Oreochromis niloticus: one gene and its partner. The protein of the gene in region 1 interacts with the protein of each later gene in a pairwise test. Links are inferred from orthologs where the notes say so. Each region holds a gene or a part of one and is shown in the gene's direction. Other genes may lie near its edges.

Evidence for each region.
Region 2: the proteins of cep72 (region 1) and pin4 interact in binary tests that used the Homo sapiens proteins (3 or more experiments, as listed by UniProt). The two-hybrid records come from large-scale screens. The link is inferred for Oreochromis niloticus from reciprocal best matches to the Homo sapiens genes CEP72 and PIN4.

Annotation. Positions count from the first base shown.
Region 1 is NC_031976.2:18,928,777-18,936,330, reverse strand, and holds the start of cep72 (centrosomal protein of 72 kDa), read left to right. Parts: upstream 1-4,540; 5' UTR 4,541-4,580; coding exon 4,581-4,656; exon of another isoform or gene 4,657-4,723; intron 4,724-4,894; coding exon 4,895-5,022; intron 5,023-5,503; coding exon 5,504-5,696; intron 5,697-5,777; coding exon 5,778-5,886; intron 5,887-6,766; coding exon 6,767-6,918; intron 6,919-7,030; coding exon 7,031-7,089; intron 7,090-7,169; coding exon 7,170-7,212; intron 7,213-7,554. Other genes in the region: si:ch211-257p13.3 (kinesin-like protein KIFC3), read right to left, coding at 1-28, 172-268, 434-532. UniProt on the Homo sapiens protein: Involved in the recruitment of key centrosomal proteins to the centrosome.
Region 2 is NC_031966.2:29,508,945-29,516,187, reverse strand, and holds the start of pin4 (peptidyl-prolyl cis-trans isomerase NIMA-interacting 4), read left to right. Parts: upstream 1-4,243; 5' UTR 4,244-4,392; coding exon 4,393-4,429; intron 4,430-4,602; coding exon 4,603-4,670; intron 4,671-5,717; coding exon 5,718-5,837; intron 5,838-7,243. Other genes in the region: nek12 (NIMA-related kinase 12), read right to left, coding at 1-47, 2,651-3,749.

The DNA of each region.
Region 1 (7,554 bases):
CTCATTTCATCTGTGTCACTGCTGCTGCCTGAATGACATCGCATCACACAAGCAATAGAGTCAAGGAATGTATCTAATTATTGATCTCTTGTACACAAAAATAAAAGTATTATTCCTAAATACTTTCATTTTATGGTTAAAAATGCCCCGAAAGACTATTTGAGCACCCACTTGATTCACTAAAGCGAGCACAAGCTTTTTTTCCCACTTTGGGGGTGTGGCCATCTCTCCTCCTGCTCCCTGTTTCCATGGAAACAGGTCCTGGCTCCTGAGCACAGCATCATATATAAGAGTCAGTAACACAGTAAAATAGACATGCATATAGCAGCATTGTATACATCCTTTGTTAGTGAGCTTATGGCCTGCATGTTCCCCCCATTTATTTATTTCAATAGAGAACCCCCGAGGCTGGACATGATATGGCTAGACGTACATCTGGGGAATCTCCACACGCCCCTTCCAAGGCTTCCTCCTCCTCCTTCTTAAAGACAGTGTAGAAGATGTAGACCAAAAGGGAGTAAAAGGCATACATCTCCACGCTGCCCAAGAGTCTCTATAGATGACAAACGAGCTCATTAATAGCACGCATCTTTATAAAGGTGGAGAAAAGCAGAATTTTATTATTGACCTCTTATACTAACAAAACATTTAATATCAATGATTGTTAAAGGTTACATAATAACATAATCTAGTGCAAATACACAATGACTTCTACAGAGGTGAAACATGTTTCTATTGTGACAATCACTCTGTTCAATCACAATAAAACGCTTCGACTTCTTTACCTTATCAAATGAATTCTCCTCTTTGGTGTCGACTCTCCAACATTCCAGTCGTTCGTATTCCACTTTCAGCTTCCATCTGTATTCCCAGTGATGACTCTTCCCGTGCAGCTCTTGTTCTCAGAGCTGCAACAGCATCTCACAGCTGCATGCAGCTCCTCTGTGCCTCCTTCCCAACCGTCCTCTCCTCTCTCCTCCCCTTTTCTCCACTTTGCTCCAGCTACAGGCTGCATCTGCAGCGAGCATGCTCAGTGCAGTTTCCCGCTGCGCTGCAGTGGTGAAGTGACAGATACAGGCAGTCATGGAGACAGATTGAGGTTGTAGGTCTGATGCCAGTGGTCGCAGTCAGGGGTGACAGTGACCATAAAAGGCGCTCGGAAAAATCAGAAGCTGCAGCTTCATGCATCTGAAAACATCGGAATGGTTTCAAGGACTAAAGAAGTGGTTTAACAATGATAGATGGCACAACAGTAAGAAGCTGTCAGGTTACATAACTATGACTAGTTTTTTTACATGTTTATTTATTTAACAAGTTAAATACAAAATGTCACACTTCTAAATGGTCAAAAAATAGAAAACTAACACTTTAAAAGGCAACAATTACCATAACATTTTGGACTTCCCAGAAAAATGGTAAAAAGCATCAGTGTTCATCTTTTCCCTGAAGACTGACATAGGCAGTCCCAGAGAAAGGCACAGATGCTTGCACATATACTGCAAAAAGAAAAAAAAAAACTGCTGAGGAAGCTGCTCACACCCCTGAAATCTTTAGGGAGCCTCTGCAGCGTCCACTACAAATCACTGTAAAGAATATCAATATCTCACAAGGTCAATGTAAATGACATGGGACACAGTGAAACAAGGGTGGTTTAAACAGGCCAGGTTGTTTCAAGTACCAAGACAGCTGATACAAACTAAGAAAGTTTTTTTTCGTTGTTTAAATGAACTGATAAGAATCAAACAGTCGTTATGAGGTAAGAGCTGGGCCAAAACCTTCGACCACTGCAGATTTTTTTTTTTTCTTAAACAGACATCGTGCTGAGTCTGCAGAACAAATATCACCCAGACTCTGAGGCAGCTGGAAACCACAACATTAAAACTGTTAGAAGAGCCGGAAGATGGAAGAACCATGCTAAAAAGGAAATTCATACAGGAAGTTCAAATATACAAATGACATCTACAGAATAGTCAAACACAACACATCTAAAAAAAAAAAAGGGTATCTTCAGTCATGTTCTCTTGGTTTGGCTGTATGTTCCAGGAAATGCAGAGGCAAGCAAAAACAAGCATTACAAAAATGACTATTGTAGTATTCATACTGTAGTACTTTCATGCTGGACAATTTTCCCATCTTTAATTTCATCCAGAATTAAATCAATTTCTTAAATGTTTGGACATTTTTCTAAAAGGCCATAACAATAACTGTAACATGTAACTCAACATGTATTTAGGAGGATACATTTTATTTCTTGCATAAATATTTCCTGTATAAAACTATGCTATGCTTTAGTACATGTGATCTCTAAGATGATGAACCATAAACCTTGATGCCTTTCTATGAGCCCCCATTAATCAGTTAAAATCACATTTTTAAATCCCATTAAAAGTTTCAGCTTCCCACACCCTAAGCTGGCACCTTAGGTTTCTTGGGTTTTTCAAAAGATATGTTTCAAATTCATAAATCATGTGTAACTTTTTGGTATCACACTCAACAACCCCCCACCCCCACCCGCAAACTTATTTCTTACATCCTTGATTCCTTTCCTAGTGAGGTGAGGATAAGACATCATCACACACACAGAAACAGTGTGTGTCTTACAGAGCAGGTAGACAAAGGTCAGAGGAGACAAGGAGGCAAAAGGTAGAGATATGAGACCAGTCCACAGCAAACCCCCATACCTTCAAATGGGATTTTTTTTTAACCAGTTATATTAACTGGGTATTAATTTACACAAGTATTTTTGTAATCAAAAGACAGTGTGCATAGATTTCACTTAAATAAAGTAACACAGACTCACTGTCTTTACTGCATACATGCTTACTGCCATGTTTCGTTTACTCCCCAAAAGCTCATTATGAGCCATAAAAATGCTGCATGATGATGCAGGAAAAAGATAAACGTCAAATCCTAGAGAAGATTGAACAAACTATTACTGGAGCTATTATTTATTATATTGACACATTAATAGGCACAATAGATTTCTGCATTGTTCTAGTTTGTCAGTCACATCTGTCAACGTCAAAAATACCTACATTTAGGAGATTTCTATGAACTTAAATAGACAGCTTGGTCAGTCACATCCAACAGAAACTTGCCAAGAGCAAGAGTTGACACCCAACAGCCTATCAACAGTGACCCCTTTAAAAGACACTTCATCAGTCCTTCTGTAGCAACTGGAAAAAGCAGAGGAGCAAAAGTTTTTGTTCCAAACCTATGAGTCAGCAGTAAGGGGAGGCTGAGGGCCATGCTCCCAAAGGCCCCTGAAGCATTACCAGCAAACAAACACACCGTCAGGCAGCAGGAGAGGGATGATAGGCCCAGACAGCGAGTCATAATTGTGAGAGTATCTGCTGAGAGCCAGTCAGAGAGTCCGAGCAGCAGGCAAGAACCACAGAGGAGAATCTGTGCTGTGTTACGGTCCTGACTGAGCCAAAGGAAATCAAAGGAGACCAACACTGGAGCCAGCACCTCAGCAGCCCATTCTGCTTCTCTCTGCAGGGAGGTGAGGTAGGGGCTGGAGGGATGCAAGATGGAAATTGCTGCAGAGATCCCAAGCAGAAAGAAGCCTACTGAAGGTGCTCTGTGGACCTGTAGAGAGAGAATGACCAAGTTTGATACTGGCTGGATTGATAGATTCACAAATGTCAAGTGAAAGATTTACGGTTTACTGCTAAAAGTAAGATGCAAAAAAACCAAACAAAAACAAACTAAAATAAAGGGAAATAGCTGAGGAAAGAGGGCCAAACCCAAGGCTATTAAGTTTACTATCATTTAATAAAAGCAGAAACTACTTATTTACTACAAATAAATAAATAAATGTACACACACCGATACTACATTGAGTGATACCCACCTTAAATAGTTTGTAAGAGTAGTAGAGTGCAGTGGCTGTCAAAATTATGTTCAAACATGACGTGACCCACTCTGTTAGATAGGACGCCATTGATCCTGATAGACACGGCTCGAGAACACCAGGAAAATTACAAAGTGTTAGTCAGCGTGATTTTAGGTAGCTATTAAAACTGGAGACGGTGTCAAAATTTCAAAAATTTCACTGACAAACAGACAAAACAATCAGCACCAAACTTTAGATAGGAACCACAATTGTAGCAGGAACAGCGACCGTTTGTTTTGACACGTGACAAGCAAGGATTTGGCGGTGCGCAGGCGCAAAATGGTGCATTCAAGGCCATTCGTAAACCCTGCAACTATGCTAACCAAAATGACCATCAGGTTTGAAATGCTTTACGGATTACTTGCTTATTTCTCATCTTTTTTGAGCCCGTGTCTTATACAGGTATCTGAAACAATGCAATTTTGTTTTCAAAAAATCTAAAAGCCTTCATTAATTAGCTGAATATCTTTGGTCGAACTAAAAAATATTAACCTGCATTTTCAAAGTTATATTTGAATATGTACACTCAAACTCTCAATAAACTGAAGTCTAACAACTTTAGAAATAGTGGGACCTTAATGAACATACTTCACGGTTTGTATAAAAGCTCCAGTAACAAAAGTGAAGCAGGAAGGACGGTATTTATTTTTCAGGCCCTGAAGGCAGCAGAACTTCGAAAAGTATGGCGGCGAAGTGTTTGACAATACTAACAGAGCAGTGGATACGTGAAAGATTAAGGCTAAAACACCCGCGTCTCGGTAACTTCACATCCAAGCTAATATATACACTATGTAGGAGTAATCAGCAGCTAACTTTAAGGGTGAGGTAGGGACAATAGACATTTGCTGTTGAAAACTACTGTGGCTAGATACTCTGCCAGGCCAGAGCATCAGTAGATAAGCTAACGAGAGCTAGCGTAACAATAAATGCTCCCTGCTCCAGACCACATCACCACAACATCTTAAAGTTATTACTTTTTTAATTGTGTTTAAATAGGCGACGTGCGGACATTGAGCCTTCCGGGGACATATGAGGAGAAGATCAGACACCTGGGAAATGGTCTGAATAACTTTATCCGTCTGAAATCTCTGGATCTCTCCTGTAATGCACTCGTTTCAGTTGAGGTTAGTTTTAGATTTTTTTTTTAAATAGAATTCACCATTTATACTACTGAAGAAAGAGTCAGAGTTTAATAATTATAAATGATTAAGTGCAGTAGTGGTGTATAAACTATTTGATAGTTTGAGCAATCTCCCTCTAGGAATTTGAAGACATTTGTGAGTCCTCATAATGATACTGTAGAGGGGGAGTTGTCAATGGTATTGAACAGGCTAATCACAATAGATACAGTCTGTGTTGACCTGACATGTAGTTACATTTCTAGGGAAGCTACAGCATAGGGTTTCAGGGGGGGTTGTGGTTATGGCTAGTGTGTAAATTACCCACTGATTACCCTGAACACTAAAACTGCATGTTCTTATGCTGATATCGGCCAATACCATATATTTTGTACATTAAGTGATATAATATATTGCATGACTAATAATTTTAGTTTTTAATATTTGCAGAGTCTGTATCTTAGCTGTTCCATTGGTTTGTTCTCAGGGTGTGCAACATTTAAAAATGCTACAGAGGCTGATCCTCTACTATAACTGCATACCTTCTCTTGAAGAAGTGAAAGTACTGTTTGAGCTGCCATCGTTAAAAGAGTTGGACCTCAGGCTCAACCCTCTGGCCAAAAATAATCCACAGTACCGCCTTTATTTGGTGCATGCCATGCCCAGCCTGCGCAAGCTAGGTAAGATGTTGTTTTGTCGCCCAGAATTTGCTCATCTCATGTCAGGTTTTAAAATAATAAGTTCTCCTCGTTGATTTACAGATAGCTGTTCAGTCAGAGATGCTGAGCGTAAATCTGCCTTGATGCAGTTCTCTTCTGAACTTCTTCCTCAGCAGATGAGCTCCTCTTTGAATCTGATTGATGATCGAAGGTATGCTGAACACAAAATCCTTAATGTAAATGAGCTTCAGCTCATTCTGTTTGATGAAAGTGTCAAATAAAGATCTGGTACCAGATTTATATGTAATATATTTTTGAAAATACTATTTTTCTCTTATACACTCATGGACACTTTATTAGTTACACCTTACCAGTATTGATTTGGACCCCTTTTGCCTTCAAAACTGCCTTAATTCTTCATGGCACAGATTAATCGAGGTGCTGGAAACATTCTTCAGAGATTTTGGGAAATATTACACGATAACATCACACAGCTGCTGCAGATTTGTCGGCTCCACATCCATGATGTGACTCTTCATTTCCACTGCATCCCACATATGTTCTATTGGATTGAGATCTGGTGGTTGTGGAGGCCATTTCAATACAGTGAAGTCACTGTCATGACCAGATTGAGATGAAAATTTTCCCCACACTATTACACCATCACCAGCATGAGCCATTAATACAAGGCAGGGCAACACGCTTTCATGTTCTTTGTGCCAAATTCTGACTTTCCTTCTAAATGTCAGAGCAGAAATTGAGACTCATCAGACCAGCGACGTTATTAAAATCTTCTATCGTCCAGTGAGTCTGTGCAAACTTTGGCATCAGTTTTTAGAGATGGTTGTAGAACAACAATTTAAAAAATACTCAGACCAGCTTTCTGGCACCAACCTTGCCACCTTCAAAGTCATGCAGATCACTGATCCTCCACTTGAACTTCAGCTAGTTGCCTTGACCATGTCAACACACATAAATACAGTGAGTTGCATCTTCTGGCTGGTGGAGCACATGAAAATGCAGTGAAATGGGTATTCTCAACCTCAGTTGCTCGAGCGGTACCATTTGCTGCGTCATTTGTGGTTTTTCAGAAGCAGTGATCGCAGACCAGCTTTAACTGACCGCTTAACCAAGAGCCTTTCTGTCCTGACCGACACTCGTGATATTGAGCTGAACTTTGTTGCCACAAATGATGGAGAGCAAAGTGAAGCTGTCTCTGACTCATTTCACAACGAGGCCGATGGTAAGATGTCACACTCCAAAAAGTTAAACTCAAATCAAAATCAAACCTGACTTATTCATGTTTATTTGTTTTGTTTTAACTTCTGATAAATCCAAACCATCTGCTGTTTCAGGTTTCAAAGAGAAAGTTTCTGAAGATTTTAGAGAACAGAGGAGCTCAACTCCCAAACAGGTGGTTTTATTGTTTCTACAGATTAAACAACATTAACAGTATAAAAATTCATTTTGAAGTAACTCTGTTCTTATTTTTAGGAAACTGCTAAATCCATCCTCAGGTATCCACTCACTAAAAATGGTAAGCCTATTTTTCTAGTTTAGGAGAGTGCAGTTTTTTGTATGTCAGTAGCTTATTAGAATTGAGATTGCAGAAGAATTATTATAGCAATAAAGCTTTCTTTGAAGGTAAGAAATCATTATCAGTAAGCAATTATGAAAACAAAGTTGTGGTTATGAAAATGTAATTGTGAACATTATTAAGAGCATGATGAAAACAGGACAGTTCACCAAGAGGCCACTAAGTCACAGTATGTTTGTCCAGTGCAATTTCCTCAGTTGATGACAGTGTGTATAATCACCACTAGGTGGCGACAGAAGTCTTTTCCTGTGTGTGTGTTTTGTTTTTTTTTTTTAACACAAC
Region 2 (7,243 bases), on another chromosome or scaffold:
CTCGAAGTCATCTGGATAGTCAACTTGTTCTGAAGTGTCAGGGATCTCTGGAAAAAAAAACAAGATTAAAAGGATGACACACGTTTGGTTTTAATAATGGCATTGTAAGTTGGTTTATTCTCAACAGACCTGATATAGGAGAGCTGTTAACATTTTTCACACATTGTTTTGATCACTAGTAGTGGATTGTTTTGTTTTCACACATCACAGATCAACAGAAGGTCCCACTGGAAAAGCAGGTTTTCCCTCAGTTTATCAGTTGATCACTCTGTTCATCTATCCCTTTAGCAGAGGAATCATCTATTTAACACATGTTGGTAAGTAGCTGAAAAAAGAACCCATTGTAGTGTTTTCATTTTCCCCCAAACTGTCTACATTATTTATCCATCCATATTTTTCTTATCCCAGCTGTCACAAGGACCTTTTTGGTGCGTGGCCACACTGCTAACCACTGTACCACCCCTTACATTATTAAGTTGGAACAGATAAGGGTAGATATGTTGCACTTTGATGCTGCTGCTGTAAAAGATCTGTAATACTAACTAAATAACTAAAAATAGAATTTCACATTTTTCTGGCCTTAAACAATAATCACTGCATTGTTTGGTAATTTCTGGGTTATTCCAACTTTACTAAGCTGCTGTCATGAAACTACACACTCACTAGTGATCCCTAAAGTGCCACCAGAAATTCTCAGATTTAAGAAGCTGAAACAGTTGAAGAAAGTTCTACATAAATGTTACAAATGTGTTTTTACAGTGTTCAGACGATAACCATAGCCCCAGATAGTTCTTACATTAGGCTCATCAGTTCACTATAAGATCTAACAAAAAAAGTTTAGGATTCGATAGAAGTTACTCAATGAACAGTTAACAATATGTGACTGAAGTGATTCAACTTTAAGTCAAGGAATTTAACCACAATTTTACCATTTCCAAGGGCCCAAACTAACTTTGAATATAAGGATTACTTTTAATACAGCCAATGAGTACATGAAGTCCAGAACCTGTGAATATCATCATTGAGATGATGAGATGCTCTGCCAGGCCTGCTTTTTGTGGGTTTTTCTGCATTCAGCTTTGTCTTCATTAGCTGAAAAGCTGCTCTACTGAGTTGAAATCAGGTGACTGAACTCTTGGGTTGCTTTTGCACTTTGCTTTGGTTTGATTTGAACACCTCACAGTTCATCCTGCTACTTCCATTAGCAGTCACAGCATCAATAAACCACTGAGACCCGTTTCCACCGGCGTCCACATGTGTCGATGCCATAATGCTGCCTTCGCCGTGCTTGACAGATGATGCGGTATGCTTTGGATCATGAGCTTTTTCTCTCCTTCTCCGTAATTGATCCACAGATTCCTTTTACAGAATTGTGCAGACTCGTTTAGATGGTTTTTTTGACAAATCTAATCTGGCCTTCCTGTCCTTGAGTGTAACCAGAGGTTTTCAGCTTGTTTTACACTCGCAGTGTTTCCAACCATGAAGCCATCATTTTGGCAGTGATACACCTGCCTTCTCAAGAGTATTCTTAACTTCATTAAATGTTGTGAAGTTGTCAGGAGATTTATTCTAAAACACTTCTTCAGTTGAGAATCAGAGAGGAGAAACACAGTTTTACTTGTATACAAGGGCAGCACAGAGCACCCACAGTGAGAGTGATGGCTCTGTGACACGTGCTCTGAAACTGCCCTGGCCTTTATTTATACATCAGTGGGTGTTTGTTCCTTACATTGGAATGTGGATGTTTAGGTGAGTGTGTGTGTGTGTGTGTGTGTGTGTGTGTGTGTGTGTGTGTGTGTGTGTGTATGTGTGTGTGTGTGGGGTCAAAGCATGACCCCATATATGACTTCCCTAAACCTGCTGGCCTGGAAGTCCAGCAGTTCATCTAAACAAAATGCACTTAGCCTAAAACAGGCATAGATACGTTTATCCTATCATAAAACAATAAAAGAAGGTACGACCTCTCCCATTCTCCCAGAGTGTGGGTGTGAAAACCAGAACACCCTGGAAATGCACACAAAGCCTACTAAAGATCACACATCCTATCACTACACAATCGATTATACACCTCTAAGCATATATGGAAACTTATATCATTAAAAGCTTATACTGACTACTAAGTACAATTTTCCATTGACAGAAGTAGTTTTTCTCAACCTCAAAAAGACCTGTGTGATCATCCACTTTAGTTTTCTTTGTGGTCTCTCAGGCTTTTTCTGATGCTGAGCTGGCCAGTACATTCATTCTTGTTAGGACAGTACTACATAACTGATCTGGCAATTCCCAAATTTTTGTTCATAGACATATTTTGTTTTGTTTTTTAAAAAAACCTAATGACAGCTTATGAATCTTTTACGTGATTGATTTGTCATAGAATAACACAAAGGTGCCTCACTGGGCTATTAAAGTACTCATCGGTGATTTTTCCAGTTACTTTCAAGCATCTGAAAATGGAAGAGTTTATAAAAATGTTTCTAATTCCTAAAGAGTTAATGTTTTTTGTTAAACTCTGATTTAAACCTAAAATTGGCCTGTCGGTCACATCATGATTGCTGGATATAAAATCCACTGTGGTGTTTCAATGTTGTTGTTTTTTAAATGTCATATGCTCAATGTCTGAATACTTATGGACATTGGAGGGATGCATTACCAATGGACTCAGCAGAATTGCTCCTCATTGCCAACCCAGACTGTTTACTTTGTCCCTCCAGAGAAGACAAGCTTCCATCATCATCAAAATCCTCAGGATAGTGGCATTGGTTCTGTTCATCTTCCTCCTCTACATCGGCAGAGGAGAAACTGACCTCCATACTTTGTTCTTTCTCTTCCCAAGAGTAGGACTGACTGGCAAAACAGGGTTGAAGTGTTGTGTTGATGTCTTCTTTTTGAACTTCCAAATTAATGTGAGCCACAGGCGTGCAGCAGTCTGTCTCTGTGTCTTTGATAGATTGCAGGTGATCTCGCACATAGGCACTGCTAAGTATAAAAGCAGCACTGGGCCTGTTGTCCGGATTGAGGTTGAGCATGCTCTGGATTAATGAGGAAATACTATCTGAGAACAAGTCAGGCACCGGGTGGTACTCTCCTTTGGTGATCTTATTGAACAGACTCAGGAGATTTGTGGCTGCAAAAGCAGGCCTGAGAGCACAGAGCTCATACAGGAGACAACCAAGAGCCCAGATGTCGGACTTGCAGCTGTACGGGATGTCCTGGCAAAGCTCGGGACTTAGGTAGCTGGGTGTCCCAACACATGTGGAAGCCATATCGGCTGTGTTAGTCATTATTCTGGATATGCCAAAATCCCCTAACTTTACCACACCTTGCTTTGTCAGCAGCACATTAGAGGGTTTGATGTCCCTGTGAAGTATTTTAGCTGTGTGTATGTAATTTACAGCCATAGCGACCTGGACAAACCAGCCCATCACAGTGTGCTCTGTGAAGAACTCCCCTGGTTTCCTCTCCTTTACTCTGTCATCCAAAGTCCCTCCATCGCAGTAGCTCATCACAATGTAAACGAACCCATCGTCGGAGTTCACAAAGGCCTCGCTGCATTTCACAATGTGAGGATGCTCCAGCCTTTTGATAATTTCTGCTTCCTGGAGAATGGCCCTCTGCGTTTTTGCCCTCTTCGTGGTCTCCGCCTTTATCCTCTTCACCGCGTACAGGCACTTCCGTTCCACGTGTCTCATGAGAAACACGTCTGCCGCTCCTCCGCTGCCCAACCGCAAGACCATCTCGTACTTCTCCATATTTGTGTCATAGAAACAAAAAACAGAGGCGAACACCCAGACTGCAGCCCGCTCGTCACGAGCCGTTTGTGTTCACTGCCGTTTCCATAGTGACCCATGACGCTGTGAGAATGGGTATGGGGGTGGGTCAGCGGCGTGTGAGAGTTACACATGCGAGTCCAAACATTAGTGTGGTTTCTAAATGGACACACTAATGTATGTACACTGTTTTCTTTATTTAGCGCCTATTTCATTACCTCTGCCATACACAAACTTAAAAAAAAAAAAACCCTTTTAATTTTAAAACTATTTTAAACTGTGATTCGAGAATATGAATTTATTGTCGAAAATCAAAATATTAAACCCTAACCCTAGCCTTTATGTTGGCAGCAAAGGAGATAACATTGAGTGCCGTCACATAAGAAAAGGAAGAAACATCTCATTAGCGTGTACAGGTATGAACCGCGTTTGTGGTTCTGTACAGTAGATGGCGGTATATTGTATCAATTATCTTTGATCTACCAACGAGTGGCGAAAGAAGAAGAAGCGTTTGGGCTCTCTGCGCAGGTTTATGCGCATGCTAATCACAACATAGCAGGGGTTTCATCTATAACTGTTATTTCTTATTGATTATTGTTGAGTTATAATTGCACGTTAGCCTGAAATGCCACCAAAGGGAAAAGGGGGAAAGGGTGGTAAAGGTTAGTGTCCTATAACTTACTAATTGTATTTGTATTCTATAATTAAAGTCAGCTAATAACTTTCCCATGTGATCCCAGAAGCGCCTTTATCACAACGGTTACTACTACAGTGCAGTTTTAATGGGTTTAACGGGTGCTGTGGTGTGTTCATCTCCTATCTTGTCACTATGTAGGAGCTGCTTCAGGGAGTGCAGACACCGACAAGAAAGAAAAAGGCCCAAAGGGAGGGACCGCTGTCAAGGTAACGTTACATTGAAGGCAAAGCTAAACTGCAACAATGACAGATTTCATTCCCTTCCCAACAAAATGTGACTTTGGGGGAGTTGAAAGGAGAGCACAGATGAACGAGTCCATGTCGCGTGCAGTGTCATGCATCCCGTACGATGCTATTTTAATAATAGAATAATCCAAACCTTTCTGCTTTAACAGAAATGTCTGAACAATTGTTGCCTTTTCTTGTCTTTTTAATAATTATCATTTGCACAGTATATCATTCCCGACTTATTTAGGTACATTCAGAGAGACTGTTGTTAAACTTTTTTGTTTAAAAAAGGTTTTCTGTTAAAAAATATTCTGTGAAAAAGCACTTCATAAACTTAACTAAATATCAAAATTTAGTACCAATAGATAATATCAAAAGATTCAGAGAATGTGGAGAAATCTCTGTGCACAAGGGCCGCGATCTTTGAGCCCTCAAGGGGCATAACGTTAAAAAAAAGGCATGATTCTGTCATGAAAATGACTGAATGGTCTCAGGAACTCTACCAGAAATCACTGGCTCTGTCATGCAAAGAAGAAGTCATGTGAACATGATCCAGAAACCCCCTCGCTCATTTAAAATTGACCAAGGGAAAGTGGAAAACTGTTCTGGGTTCAGGCGATGAATATTTTTTTTTAATTTTTGGAAAACATGGATGCTGAACTAAAGACAAAGAGCGACCATCCAGCTTGTTATATCATCACTTGTCTCTAACGCTAGCTTCTCTGATGGTTTGAGGGTACAACAGTGCACTCCTTGGGAGCTCGCACATCTGGAAAGGCACCATCAATGCTGCAAGATATATACAGGTTTTTAGACCAAAGTGTGCTTCCATCTAGACAATGTGTTTTCGAGGGAAAGGCTTGCAAGAGAATGCTAAACTGCATACTACCGCGAACTGCAAAACATTCAACACATCGTGAAATGAAAAACAAAAAAGCTTCAGGGCTATCGAGCAGCTAGAATCCTATATCAGACAAGAGTAGGACAAGTCCAGCAGAATCATCTGTTTTTGTTTTTTTTCTGCAGGTCCGGCATATCCTGTGTGAAAAACATGGAAAATGCATGGAAGCAATGGAGAAACTGAAGGCTGGAGTTCGTTTCAGTGAAGTAGCTACACAGTACAGTGAAGACAAAGCCAGACAAGGAGTAAGCGCTTGCACTTGTAATCAGATGTGCGGTGTTAGTTTCCCTTTATTGACAGTCTCAGTTTGTTTATAATGCTTAACTGAAATCATCCTAGTCAGAAGTAACGTAACCATGGAAAATTTGTCATATGATTCCTTAGTTATCGTATTACACAGTACGTGGCCTAAATGAGGTCATTGTTGAGAGTTTTTCTTGGCTCTGGCAGAAATCTATCCATTTTAGTCCTTTCTCTTAACCATTTGGTAATTGACATTTGGATTATATTAGAGCAAACAAAATCCAAACTAATAGAAATGTTTACAGATTGCTTTATTACACTGCTGTTTATCTTTCTGTGTGTCAGAAAGTCCCGTGAGGGGAAACCTGACTGTTTTATAGGATGTGTAATGTTTAGCATCACAGATAATGAGTTTCAACGGCTGACTATCCCACCACAACATCTACACCGATGTATTTTGAGCTGCTGGGAAACTCCAGTCCAGATTAGGCTATTACTCAGGTCACCACAGAAATATGTGAAGAGTTGCTGCAAACAAGCATTTGCTTCACACCCCCTTTTAAAAAATTTTTTTATTTTTGTTTGTCAAAATATCAGTTTGCCTCTTCAGTACAGCATCAGCATTAGGGATGGGTATCGAAAACCGGTTCTTGTTGAGAACCGGTTCCCACTGTTTCAATTCCTTGGAATCGTTTGCCATTTTTGCAAACGATTCCCTTATCGATTCCAGTCACCCCGAATGACGTCACCACGTTGCGGAGCGTCGGAGCGTACCTGGCAGGAAACACGGCGCCTAAGCGGCTCAAACGCTTAAAAGTTTGTTTATACTTTACGAGAATGGATGACAACAGGGCAACTTGCAATACTTGCAAAGTAGATATTTCATTTAAGGGAGGAAACACTACGAATATGCAAAAGCATTTGCTCACAAAACACGCGATGAATTTAAATGAATGTCTTTAATTCCGCTCCGGACTCGTGAATCTCAACCCAGCAGCAGCAGCGGTAACGTTTGCACGTCATCTCCCGTTAATGCGGCAGGTAAATAATCAACTAACAGTGCATATTATGTTAGCGCGATCTGCTTTATTACAAAACCTGCCATTGTGCATTTAGGTGACCATGATGAGACAGACAGACAGAGTCTGGCTGGCGCTCGCTGGCAGTTGTCGCTGCAGTCTACCGGTAGCGTCTCTTTTCAGGCCCGCATGTCACCGAGCAGTGACTAGTTTGTGGTCAAAACCTTGCAGCCATTTGCCACAGCAGATGGTAAGTGAATGTGTTTAATTGTAGGCAGGGACATTACTGGATATTCTTGTGTAATTGCTACAGAATAATTTATGTTATACTTTGTTATTGCTACAGAAGAATATTTATTTTATTATTTTACGTTTATAATTTTCCCCGG